Linked DNA regions of Lonchura striata. The protein of the gene in region 1 purifies or fractionates together with the protein of each later gene. This does not show direct contact. Links are inferred from orthologs where the notes say so. Each region holds a gene or a part of one and is shown in the gene's direction. Other genes may lie near its edges.

Region 1 (3,746 bases):
GAATTTGGGGCAACACAATAAACAAATATTGGCATCTAATACCCAATTGGAACAGGCTGCTGTTCATAGGGGACCGACACAGCTCATGGCACAGATGGAAAAACCTGGGGTTTGCTCCTGACTTCTTGTGGAAGTCAGTGGAATTTGGGGCAACACAATAAACAAATATTGGCATCTAATACCCAATTGGAACAGGCTGCTGTTTATAGGGGACCGACACAGTTCGTGGCATGGAGGGAAAAACCTGGAGTTTGCTCCTGACTTCTTGTGGAAGTCAGTGGAATTTGGGGCAACACAATAAACAAATATTGGCATCTAATACCCAATTGGAACAGGCTGCTGTTCATAGGGGACCGACACAGCTCATGGCACAGATGGAAAAACCTGGGGTTTGCTCCTGACTTCTTGTGGAAGTCAGTGGAATTTGGGGCAACACAATAAACAAATATTGGCATCTAATACCCAATTGGAACAGGCTGCTGTTCATAGGGGACCGACACAGCTCATGGCACAGATGGAAAAACCTGGGGTTTGCTCCTGACTTCTTGTGGAAGTCAGTGGAATTTGGGGCAACACAATAAACAAATATTGGCATCTAATACCCAATTGGAACAGGCTGCTGTTCATAGGGGACCGACACAGCTCATGGCATGGAGGGAAAAACCTGGGGTTGCTCCTGACTTCTTGTGGAATTTGGGGCAACAAAATAAACAAATATTGGCATCTAATACCCAATTGGAACAGGCTGCTGTTCATAGGGGACCGACACAGTTCGTGGCATGGAGGGAAAAACCTGGGGTTGCTCCTGACTTCTTGTGGAATTTGGGGCAACACAATAAACAAATATTGAGGCTGCCAGAGACAATGCAGGAGGTCACGCTTATCCTTTACAAATATGGAGCTGCCAGAGAGGAGCCAGATCACACTTTATCTTTTCCTTCACTCAGAACCCATCACACAAATGCAAACTGTTCGCCGGGCGAACCTGGGCAAGGCCTGTGGGAGGAGCAGAAGCTCGGGAGATGCCGAATGGACACAGCATCCCCGGCAAACAGAAGCTTTTCGGGGCTGATTTCGCCCCGCGCGGGCAGGCAGAGCAGGCAGGGCGGCGTGAGGGGGGAAGGCGGGCGGCCCCTCAGGCGACCCCCACCTCCGCACGGGTGGGAGGCGGGCGCAGGGAGGCGAGCCGGCAGGCTGGGGGGGCTCGGGGGGCTCGGGGGGCTCGGGGTGGCTCGGGGGGCTCGGGGTGACTCGGGGGCTCGGTTCCGGGCCGCCGCACCGCCCGTGCCCCGCTGCCGCCGCCGCCGCCCCGGCAACGGGGGCGGAGCGGGCGGCGGGCGGGGCGGGCGGCGCGCGCTGACGGCTTCCGGCGGGCGGGCGGCGCGCGGGGGGCCCGGCGGAGCTCGGGGCGGTGCCGCTGTCGCGCTCGGTGTCGTGTCGGGGCTGCCGGTGCGGAGCCGCGTTCGGCGGTGTGGGCGGCGATGGACACGCTGGGCAGGAAGGTGGTGGTGTGCGACAACGGCACCGGGGTGAGTGCGCGCGGGCGGCGCCGGGAGCCGCCCTGCCGCCGGGGCGGAGGGGAAGGGGAAGGGGAAGGCGGGTGGCGCTCCCCCACCGGAGCCGGCCCGGCTTCCTGCCGGCACCGCCCGCCCGGCCCGGCCGCCGTCCCCGCGGAATGAATGGGCGATGGGCCCTCGGCCCGGTGTGCCCGTGCTCCCCGGGCCCTGCGGTGCCCGGCCCCGGCCCTCGGCGGTCCCGATTCCCCTGCGTGACCTGGGCCGGTCCCCTCAGCAGCGCGCCTTCAGACAAAAACGGCGATTTTTAAAAATTCTGAATCAGCGCATTATGCGTTGGGCAGTCAGGATGCGTCCTGTGTCTGCAGGATTATTACTTGAGGGAAATGTGTTTGGTTATTTTATTTTATTTTATTTATTTTTTTTTTTAAGAGCATCATCCTTTCCTCCGTGCCTCTCCGATCTGCCGCGTACCTCCCATAATCGGCATTTTCTAAATGAAAGGTTTTCTCCCCATCCTTTCCACCTTTCCTGGCCTCCATAAGCGTGCAGGCACCGCTGGAAAATCCATCCTTTTGTCAGGCTGTGAAGCACCTTGGCAGGAAGTGAAAAAGATACCATTTTAAAGCAGGAGGAGATCAGATGCTATCGGTGGTTATTTCCCCTCGGTAATTTCTTTTAGCAGTCTAGGTTTCCCCCAGTAAAGCAATATTATGTGCAGAGTTACCTCGATTGGTGGTGCATTAAGATCTCTTGAATGGCAAAAAAAAACAAGGGTTTTTTTTTTATATGAACACTTGCAAAAAAGACTTTTTTTTCTTTTTTTAATAAGCCTAGTAAAGAATATTTGAGACAAAGGATTATTTTATTACAGATTCAGCATCCTAAATTAGGGGGTTTTTCAGTTAGCATCTGAAATTGTTAGAATGGTTCAGGAAGAAGAACATCATATTTGACAGTTTCGGGGTTTGACAGTGATGATGTCTTCATTAACCCTCATATAGCAAAAGCTATCTTTGATAGGGTTAGAATTCAGAGCCTTTGGGCACTTTTTACACTATAATTTAGAGAAAGGAAAGAAAAGGAGATAGCATTTTCTTGTTACAAAAGGATATGGAAGCTGCTTTACGGTTTGTTTGTTTGTTTGACTTCTTTTATTGTTCTTTTTTCTTTAATCTTCCTATTGCGAGGCCCAGAGTAAAAAAAAAAAAAAAAAAAAACCAAAACAAAAAATTCAGAGCTTCATCCATTGGTGTGGTCCTTTATATGGCAATAATCACTGAGTTGTAAAATGTTGAGTGTATTGCTGGTGACAGCAGTGTTGTGCCTTGGCTGGTCTCAGGTGTGACACAGAGGGTAAAAGCAATTTTTCCAACCAGATTTCCCAAGCTGGGTGTGCCACACACATTTCTTTACAGCCTGGGGTATCTGTGCATGCTGTTAATTCCAGACACATCTTGGATCCATACAGTTTTTCCCTCGATGAGTTGGACCAGCAGGATATAAATAACCACAGGAGTGGAAGGTGTCTTTATGGTGCAAGAGGAGCCTGTGTCATTTCAGCCTGTGTGGTTTTGGGTTGTGCTGGGTTTTTGGGCAGAACAATGTGTGCCTGGAAGCCACAGAACTCCTTGGGTGGGAGAGTAGAGTGAAAGAGTGTTTTAATTGTTAAATGAGTCAACTCAAAATGTTCAGATTGATTTGGGATAATTGGACAAGGATTGGGATAACTAATCTGCACAAAAATTCCATTCAGTAAAATTTTTGAGTCTCAATTGCATGTCGAGGTATCAAGTAGTTCTGTATTGTCAAGCCACTATTTTGATAATAATATTTTGCCTATGTGACAAGAAATGTTTAGCATTATTTCTGATATCTCACACTTAAAAGCATGATTGAAATGAAATCGCTCTCCATGTGTCGGAAAACTTATAGGTAAAAAATGGAGAATATCTTTGGAAAAACGGGTGAATTTTTAACGTTAGGCTCGTCTTTGCAATTTGCTGTTCTTGTTAGGCTGCAGTAGGACTCCTGATGCATCAGGCTGCAGCCAGTCTTTGAGGAAGAGGTGAGTGGCTCGAAGGAAGTTCTTGCAACACATAGTGTGGGAGGCAGGCAATGGCACCTCAAAGGTCTGCAGCGTTAGAGGTGGATGCTCTTATTGTTAGAGGCCAAGCAGAAAGTTACTCACTGGCCTGTACAATTGTTGTAACTGTGTTTAGGGTTTTTGTT
Region 2 (3,746 bases), on another chromosome or scaffold:
CCACCGTCCCCGCACGGTACCGCGCCCGGTGTTCGGTGCCGCACCCCCCACCCGGTATCCCCGGGGCGGCCAGCGCCTGCCGGTACCCCCCCCGGCTCCGCGTGTCCCCGGGGACCGGCGCCTCCCACTGTCCTCCGGTGCCTCCCGTGCTCCCCGGAGCGGCGCATCCCGGTGCCGCGGGGTCTCACCTGCGCGGGGCGGCGGGCGGGCGAGCGGCGGCGGCGGCGGCGGGGCCGGTGCGGGAGCGGGGCGGGGGGAGCGGAGCCGCCCTGCACCGCGATATAAATAACATTATCTGGGCGCGCAGGGACATTCCTACCCGGAGCCGGCGGCGCTGCCCGGCCCCGATAGCCCCGCTCCCCCCGGGAGGGCCGGGCCGAGCCGACCGGGCGGGCGGGGACGGGGATGGGCGCAGGGACGGGGACGGGGACGGGCCGCCCGCCCCGCAATGCAGCACAGCGGCGCCCCCCGGCCGCCAGCGCCACCGGCACCGGCAGCAGCACCGACACCGGCAGCACCGGCATCGGCAGCACCATTGGCGGCAGCATCATTGGCGGCGGCACCGTCCCCTGCAGGCTGCGGAGAGGCGCAGCGCCCCGCCGACACCGGCGGGGGTCCACGGCCATCCCCTCCGGCCGGCCCACGTATCCCCCGCTAGCCCTGGATGCCCCCCAGCTAGTCCCAGGCATCCCTCAGCTAGCCCTAGGTGTCCTCCACTAGCCCTGTGAGTTCCCCAACTCGTCCCAGGCACGCCCTAGTTAGACCTCTGTGTACTCCAGCTCGTCCCAGGCACCCCCTAATTTGTCCCGGGTGACCCCACTAGTCCTGGATATCCTCCAACTAGTCCGTGGTGTCCTCCATCTAATCCAGGCAGTCCCCAGCTAGCCCCGGGTGACCCCCAGCTAGCCCAAGCCACCCTACAATCAGCCCCGGGTGCCCCCACTATCCCCGGATGCCCCCCAGCTAGTCACAGGCACCCCACACCTGGCCCTGTGTGTTTCCCACTAATCGAGAGTGTCCCCCAGCCAATTTCCAACACCCCACAGCTGGCCCTGAATGTCCCCCAGCTAGTTCTGGGTGTCTCCCACTAGCTCTGGATGCCCGCCAGCTACTTTCTGAGGTCTTCCGCTAGCCCTGGGTATCTCACAGGTAATCCCAGCTAGCCCCAGGTGCCCTTCACTAGCCCCAGATGCTGCGCAGGTCACTCTAGGTGTCCCCCACTAGCCTTGGGTGCCCCCAGGTAGCTCCAGGCGTCCCCCACCAGCCCTGGGTGCCCGACTAGCCCAGACTCCCCCCAAATATTCCCGGTTGCCCCAAGCAGCCCCACGGCCCCACAGGCCACGCCCACTTCCTTAAACCACGCCCATTGTCCTCCAGGCCACGCCCACACCCAGCGCCTCGGCCCCGCCCCGCCGCTGAGCCCCGCCCCTCAGCGCAGTTCTCGCGACATTTGCGGGGGAGCGCGGCGCGAGATGTGCGGCGGCTGTGTGGGCACCGAGTACCCGGAGCGGGTGAGGGCGGGAGCGGGGGACACCGGCGGGCACCGGCACCGGCACCGGTCCGAGCCTCTGCTCCCGCCCTAGGGCACCACCTGCCTGGAGGGCGGATCTTTCCTCCTGAACTTCGTGGGGTGCGCGCAGTGCGGCCGCCGGGATTTCGTGCTGGTCAACAACCGAGCCGAGGACCTGCAGGGCGGGGAGGAGATCGTCACTTATGACCGTGCGGTGGGGGGCACCGGGGGGGCTTACGTGGATGGGGGAGCCTTTGGGCTCTGGGGTTCTTGAGGGTCGGGGGGCCTGAGGGGAGCTTTGGGGTTTGGGGTTTTTGAGGGTGACATTTGAGGGATCCCTGAGCCATCCCTGGGGTTCAGGGATCGCTGAATGTTTGGGGTCTTGAGGGCTGGGAAGAGTCGGAGTTCGGGGGGAACCTTGGGTCTTGAAGAATGCTGAAGGCTGTGGAGGGCCTTTGGAGTCTGGAGCTTGGACGATCTTGAGAGTTAGAGAGGGCTGGAGCAAGCCTTTGGGATCTGGGGGTCTTGAACACTGGGGGACACAGGTGGAGGCCTTGAAGGTTGAGGCCTGGTGGTAACATTTGGATTCTGGGTGGCTGGGAAGAACTTCTGGGGTGTGGGGGCCCTCGAGGGTGGGGGCGTGTTGGGGTGGGGGGCTCAGAGGTCAAAGGAGGGAGAGACCTAAAGGAGGATTAGTTTGAGTAGGGAAAATTTGAGGCCCCAATATCTCGGAGGTTCCTGAGGGTGAGAAGGGTGGATGCCCTGTGGGGGAGGGTCTTAGGTTTTAAAGGGAGTATCAGCGAGCTGCAGATGGGCATGAAGCGGGGGTGAGTTGCTCTGATGGGAATTTTGGGGGCTTGATGCTTTGGGGACTGGGACGTCTATGCCCTGGGTGTGAGGGCAGGCATGGAGGACTGGGACTTGCCCCAAGAGATTGGGGAGGGACGATGGCCATGTCCTCACCCCACTGTCCCTTGCCCCACAGACCTGTGCAAGAACTGCCACCACCTGATTGCACACCACGAGTACACCTTCAGCGTGGTGGATGACTACCAGGTTTGTTTCTTGTCCCCTAAAAGCCCTCCTGACTCTGTCTCTGGAATTCCAGATGCACCCTTCCACAGGCTGATTCCTACCTTCCCTGGGACAGAGCCTCAAAGGATTCAGAGCCCCATCCCCATGTTCAGGGCTACCTGGAGTCCCCCCAGCATTAGTCTGTGCCTTGTGGGGGAAGCCCAGCTCACCTGGCATAGGAATGTGGGTGATGGGAGGGGGCTGTGACCCCCATTGCTCATTCCTGGCACATCTCCTATGCAGCAAAGGGCTGGAAAAAGGGCTCAGGGGAGCCGGTAGGGCTGGAAATGAGATCCCCTGGCTCTGATTGCAATCAGGGATCGGGTACCAGCTCTGGCTCAAGTTTCCGTATAGCGGGGGAGGGCTGTGACAGCCCCTCTTTTTCCAGCCCCCCCCTTTTCCTTCCCCCAGGAATATACCATGCTGTGCCTGCTCTGCGGCCGTGCTGAGGATTCCATTAGCATCCTGCCTGACGACCCTCGCCAGATGACCCCGCTGTTCTGATCCCCATGTGTATCCCAGGATGAGCTTCCAGGAGCTCTGGGAGATCCCTGGATCCCTGCCACTGTAATTTCTGGGGACCACACAGTCCCTGACAGGATTTGCTCCTCCAAACTTCCAGCCTGGATGCAGTGAACACCCAACACCGGATGCTCCCATGTTTCTGGAGCCTTTTGGCTCTGACCCTGACTGCAAGGATGGGATGCAGTGCCACGGCCCAAGTCCCCCATGTGCTGAAGACATAAAGGGGTCCCCAAAACAGGATCCAAAAGGATTCCCATCCCATCCTGCCTCAGGAGCCCTCATATATGGAGTAATAAATGTGACGTGTGACAGCTCGGTGGCACAAGCAGGAGTATTTTGGGAGTGGGCTTCGCCCCCTGGAGGTGGTGAAGGGTGTTGAGGGCTGATGGAAGAGGCTTTCTCCATCCCAGGAGCCTGTGGGATTCTTCCTTGGCCCTTCCCAGCACTGGAGAGTCCACTACACTCTCCCAGTGCTCTCCTAAACCCTGGAGAGAAAGGACTTGGATGATTTTCCCTTCCCGTGGAGTTGGTTTGGGGTCACTTTCCCCTGCCCTAGGGTTTGGAACCTGGCCCTGCCCTGCTGGGAATTCCATATTCCTGAGGAAGGAAGGAGCTGGGTGTGAGAAATCACTGCCCT
Region 3 (3,746 bases), on another chromosome or scaffold:
GCGGGGGGAACGCCCCGACCTCCGGAGCGACGCTGCAGGCCCTGCCAAGAGGTCAGAGATGAGCAGCAGCGGGCAGAGAGGGCAGTGGGGGCTGGCAGGGGAGCTGTGCCAGGAAGAGCATCCCGTGTCCAAAGGGCGCAGGAGAGGGCGGGAGGGAGAAGCCCCTCCAAAGGTGTACGAGCTGGAGGTGGTGCCCAGGCGGGTGGGCACGGGCAGGACGGTGAGGCCGGTGGTCTACAGGCTGGAGGAGAGCGAGTACCGGCGCCTCATCCAGGAGGCAGAAACGGAACCTGAGGAGGAATGGGAAGAGGCAGAGGACACGCTACCCTTGATTCAGGAGGGCTATGCAGGGGATGGGAAGGTGGCAAGCCCAAGCCTTAGCAGGCTCAACTCCTTGGAAAGAGTCCTGAGGAGGCAGATGAGCCGCTCGGACTCAGAAAGCAGCGTGGAGGGCAGGCAAGTGACCAAACTGAGCCCCAAGGGCCCCTCAGAGGGGAACAAACCAACCGTGCCTGTCAGGTCTGACAGCTTCGAGCGCAACGCCATCCTCATGGATTACATCCTGCAAAGCAAGCAGGAGGCAGGCACACCTGTCTCCTACATCCCCAGGGACAGCAGCAGGGACAGCCTGAGGCAGGCACGGAGCTTTACCCCCCAGCCCGATGGAACACTTGTCCTGTGCCAGAACGGCCAGGCCAGCGAGGAGGATCCGGCCAGGAAGCCCGAGCCAGACCAGCCGGTAGTGAAAAGCCTCGAGAGAATGGTCCCTGCGGTCACAAATTATCCCTCGGTGGCCAGAGACACCGGGAAGCTTTCAAGACAGAGCAGCAGCCAGCTCCCAGACAGCCGGGAGCAGCTCGGAGGTGAAGCTGATGAACTGGACTCCTACATCCCGAAAAGAACCCCCCCGGCACCCCCTGTCAGGACGCACAGCAAGGAGAGCCTGGCTCTGAGTATGAGCAAGGCTGTGGCGCTGACGGAGGCGCTGCTGGAGCCCCTCGGCGATGAGGCCAAGGCTGGCAGGGAGCAGTGGGCAGCGGCGGGCACCGAGCTGCTCCCTGGAGGCCGGACTGCGGGAGGAGGGGGCTCGGAGGAGCCGGAGCGGAAGGGGAGGCAGAGTCAGGAGGATGAGAATGTGCTTAAAGTTGCCGATGCCAAGAAAACCTTCGAAAAGCCCAAGGCGTCGGAGGGGACGGCAGCAGCACCAGCGCCCAAAAAAGGTGAGCAGTGAGGGGTCCTGGCTCTGCCGTGGGGCTGAGGGGTCCTGGAGGTCGCAGTTCCAGGGCAGGTGGGAACTCTGCCGTGGGTGGGAAATAGCTGCTGGGAATAGCCGGGTGACAGATGGGATGTGCTCAGGGCACACGGACTCTGAGGAGGCAGGATGGGAATCAGGTGTTGGTTCAAAGCCCCTCATGCAGTGAAACTGTTTTGGGGAAAGATTTGTTTTGTCAGACCCCTGTGTAGGAATAAGTACAATTTGCTGCTTCTCACAGCAGCTAATATGAAGCAGTGTCCATAGGATGCATCCTCCCACTGCCATGTGGGATTATTTGCCTCTATCTCTCCAGGCACTGGGTGAGCCAATTTTATTTTAGCTATTAAAAAAAGCAGCATTATTTTCTCTAAGTTTTTCTCCTGCACTGTGACTTCACTGAAAAAGCCATTCAGGAGAATGACATCAACTTGGAAACCCTTTCACCGAAAAAAATGTGGAGAAGTGAACTCTGTTGAAATTTTCCTGGTAAAACAGCAGTTCTGCAAAAATAGGAGGGATAGAAATGAGTGTTTGTGTGAGAGTTCGGATGCCGCAAGGAGCCACCCGACCCACGCTGCTTAACTCCCATCTTCTGTTCAGTGACAATCTGCAATTGTGCATTTCCTTATAAGGAAAAATAAGTGTTTTAAGGCACAGGAAATCTGTGGTGGCTTTGAACTGAGTTTGCTTAAAAAATAGGTGTGATCTGTTACTGTCGCGACAGAGTCGGGGCGTGAACGTGGCACAGTTTGTGCCTGTCAGGGATGACAAAACCCCTGCAGGGATGACAAACGGCTCCTGTGCTCTCAGGAAGCAGCTGAGGACACATTGCACGATGTAAAGAAATAGTGGTGGGAGGTATTTGTCGCTGCAAGCACTGCCAGGCTCTGTGGTGGTGTCTGAGTGTGGATCTCCACAGCCCTCGAGAGGGAGGCTGGCTGGTGTCGCCGGTACAGCTGAGCTGGAGCGTTCCCCACAGCCACACCCGGCACTGGGATGTTTGATCAGCTCATCCTTCCCGGGATGGAAGGAGCAGGTGGGGGGAACAGGTCTAGCACAAGAAGGGGGTGAGAAGGAATACAAGGAATCAGCTCCCTCCCCAAGGCAATACCAGCTGCAGCCCAATCCCCCCTGACACATTTTTAACAGGGAGGGAGTGTTGAGACAATATTTCAGTGCTGAAGGGTGGAAATGTTGCAATAAAAAAAATCACAAACTCACGGAATTATTCAGGCTGGGAGGGACCTCAAAGCCCATCTTGTCCAACCCCTGCATGGGCAGGGACATCTTCCACTAGAGCAGGAAGAAGAGCAAGAGCAGCTTCTCATTTTGCTCTATCCATGGCAGTCTGTTGGGGTTTTAAAAGCTGGGTCAAACACCGATCTTCCCAAATCTCAAACACGAACACCTCACCTGGATTTACCCTTATGTGTTTCCTTTCTTATATCTCTGATTTTTCCAGCACCTTTGGTCCAACCTGATCCTAGACAGCAGGGAGAGAAACAGAAGGAGATGGCAAAAGAATTCAAAACTGGTTGAATAGTGAGGCTCTGGGATCATTGCCCAGAGCCCCGGCTTCTTCCCTGCCTGCCTGATTTTTTCCTGCTGCTCAGGATGATAGGAATTGTCAGAATATTCATGTTGTAAATAAAATACAGCTTGCTTGCTTTTTATTTTTGCTTTTTTTTTTTTCCTTTTTTTTTTTTTTTCAGTTCTGCTTTCTTGTCTCTCTCCTCCTTGTTAATCATTCAGAGACAGCAACAAAGGAAATCCCATCTGTTGCAAGCAATTGCTTTGGGTTTATTTGGAGGCCCAACATTTTAATTAGGTATTGGGACCTACCTCCCCTTCACTGCAGAAATAGAAAAGAAATTAAAATATATTTCACAATCCTGTTTAACGATGGAGAAAAATACATGAGGAAATAGATTAGCTTGAAATTAGAGGTTTCTTTTTGCTGTAAAAGCTCATTTTTTGATGCCTTTTTTCCAGCTGAGCTGGGAGGGATGTGTGTGACACCAATATTGCTGCATAAAAGGTGTGAGAGTGGGGAGATGCAGTAATAGATGTGCTCAATGAAATCTATTGTAAATCATTAATAACAATAGCATCAATTATTAATGCACATCCTGGCCTAATGTTCACCCATTCCTTACCCATCTCCAGCATCCTCCAGCCTTTCCAAGTGGCACAGGAGCGATGTCAGCATGGGCCCTCACTCACCACAGTGGATTTTATTGCCCTTTGGGGAGGGGAGTTGTGAATGACCCCAATTCTGGGGTCTGGAAGTAGCACAGAGATGGTTCCATGTCACACAGAGCTGGGAATAAAGCTCAGGGACGCTGGCTCCCAACGCTGTCCTTTAATCCATGTTTTCCTCTTTCCTTGCTGCGACACCGAGGCACTTCTCCCCTCCTGGCTGTTGTTTCAAAGCATCTGATGGAACATTTTGCTCTCCTTATCTCCATTCCCTAATTCTACAGCTCCCCTT

The links.
Region 2: the proteins of ACTR2 (region 1) and CHURC1 purify together in Homo sapiens (affinity purification with mass spectrometry; 4 studies listed by BioGRID and IntAct, with this or other methods). This does not show direct contact. The link is inferred for Lonchura striata from reciprocal best matches to the Homo sapiens genes ACTR2 and CHURC1.
Region 3: the proteins of ACTR2 (region 1) and CORO1C fractionate together in Homo sapiens (co-fractionation; 3 studies listed by BioGRID and IntAct, with this or other methods). This does not show direct contact. The link is inferred for Lonchura striata from reciprocal best matches to the Homo sapiens genes ACTR2 and CORO1C.

The regions. Positions count from the first base shown.
Region 1 is NC_134605.1:1,572,116-1,575,861, forward strand, and holds the start of ACTR2 (actin-related protein 2), read left to right. Parts: upstream 1-1,366; 5' UTR 1,367-1,481; coding exon 1,482-1,529; intron 1,530-3,746. UniProt on the Homo sapiens protein: ATP-binding component of the Arp2/3 complex, a multiprotein complex that mediates actin polymerization upon stimulation by nucleation-promoting factor (NPF).
Region 2 is NC_134608.1:52,503,234-52,506,979, forward strand, and holds CHURC1 (protein Churchill), read left to right. Parts: upstream 1-1,442; 5' UTR 1,443-1,472; coding exon 1,473-1,511; intron 1,512-1,583; coding exon 1,584-1,719; intron 1,720-2,495; coding exon 2,496-2,566; intron 2,567-2,995; coding exon 2,996-3,088; 3' UTR 3,089-3,420; downstream 3,421-3,746. UniProt on the Homo sapiens protein: Transcriptional activator that mediates FGF signaling during neural development. Plays a role in the regulation of cell movement.
Region 3 is NC_134620.1:11,362,507-11,366,252, forward strand, and holds the start of CORO1C (coronin-1C), read left to right. Parts: upstream 1-1,095; 5' UTR 1,096-1,220; intron 1,221-3,746. UniProt on the Homo sapiens protein: Plays a role in directed cell migration by regulating the activation and subcellular location of RAC1. Increases the presence of activated RAC1 at the leading edge of migrating cells.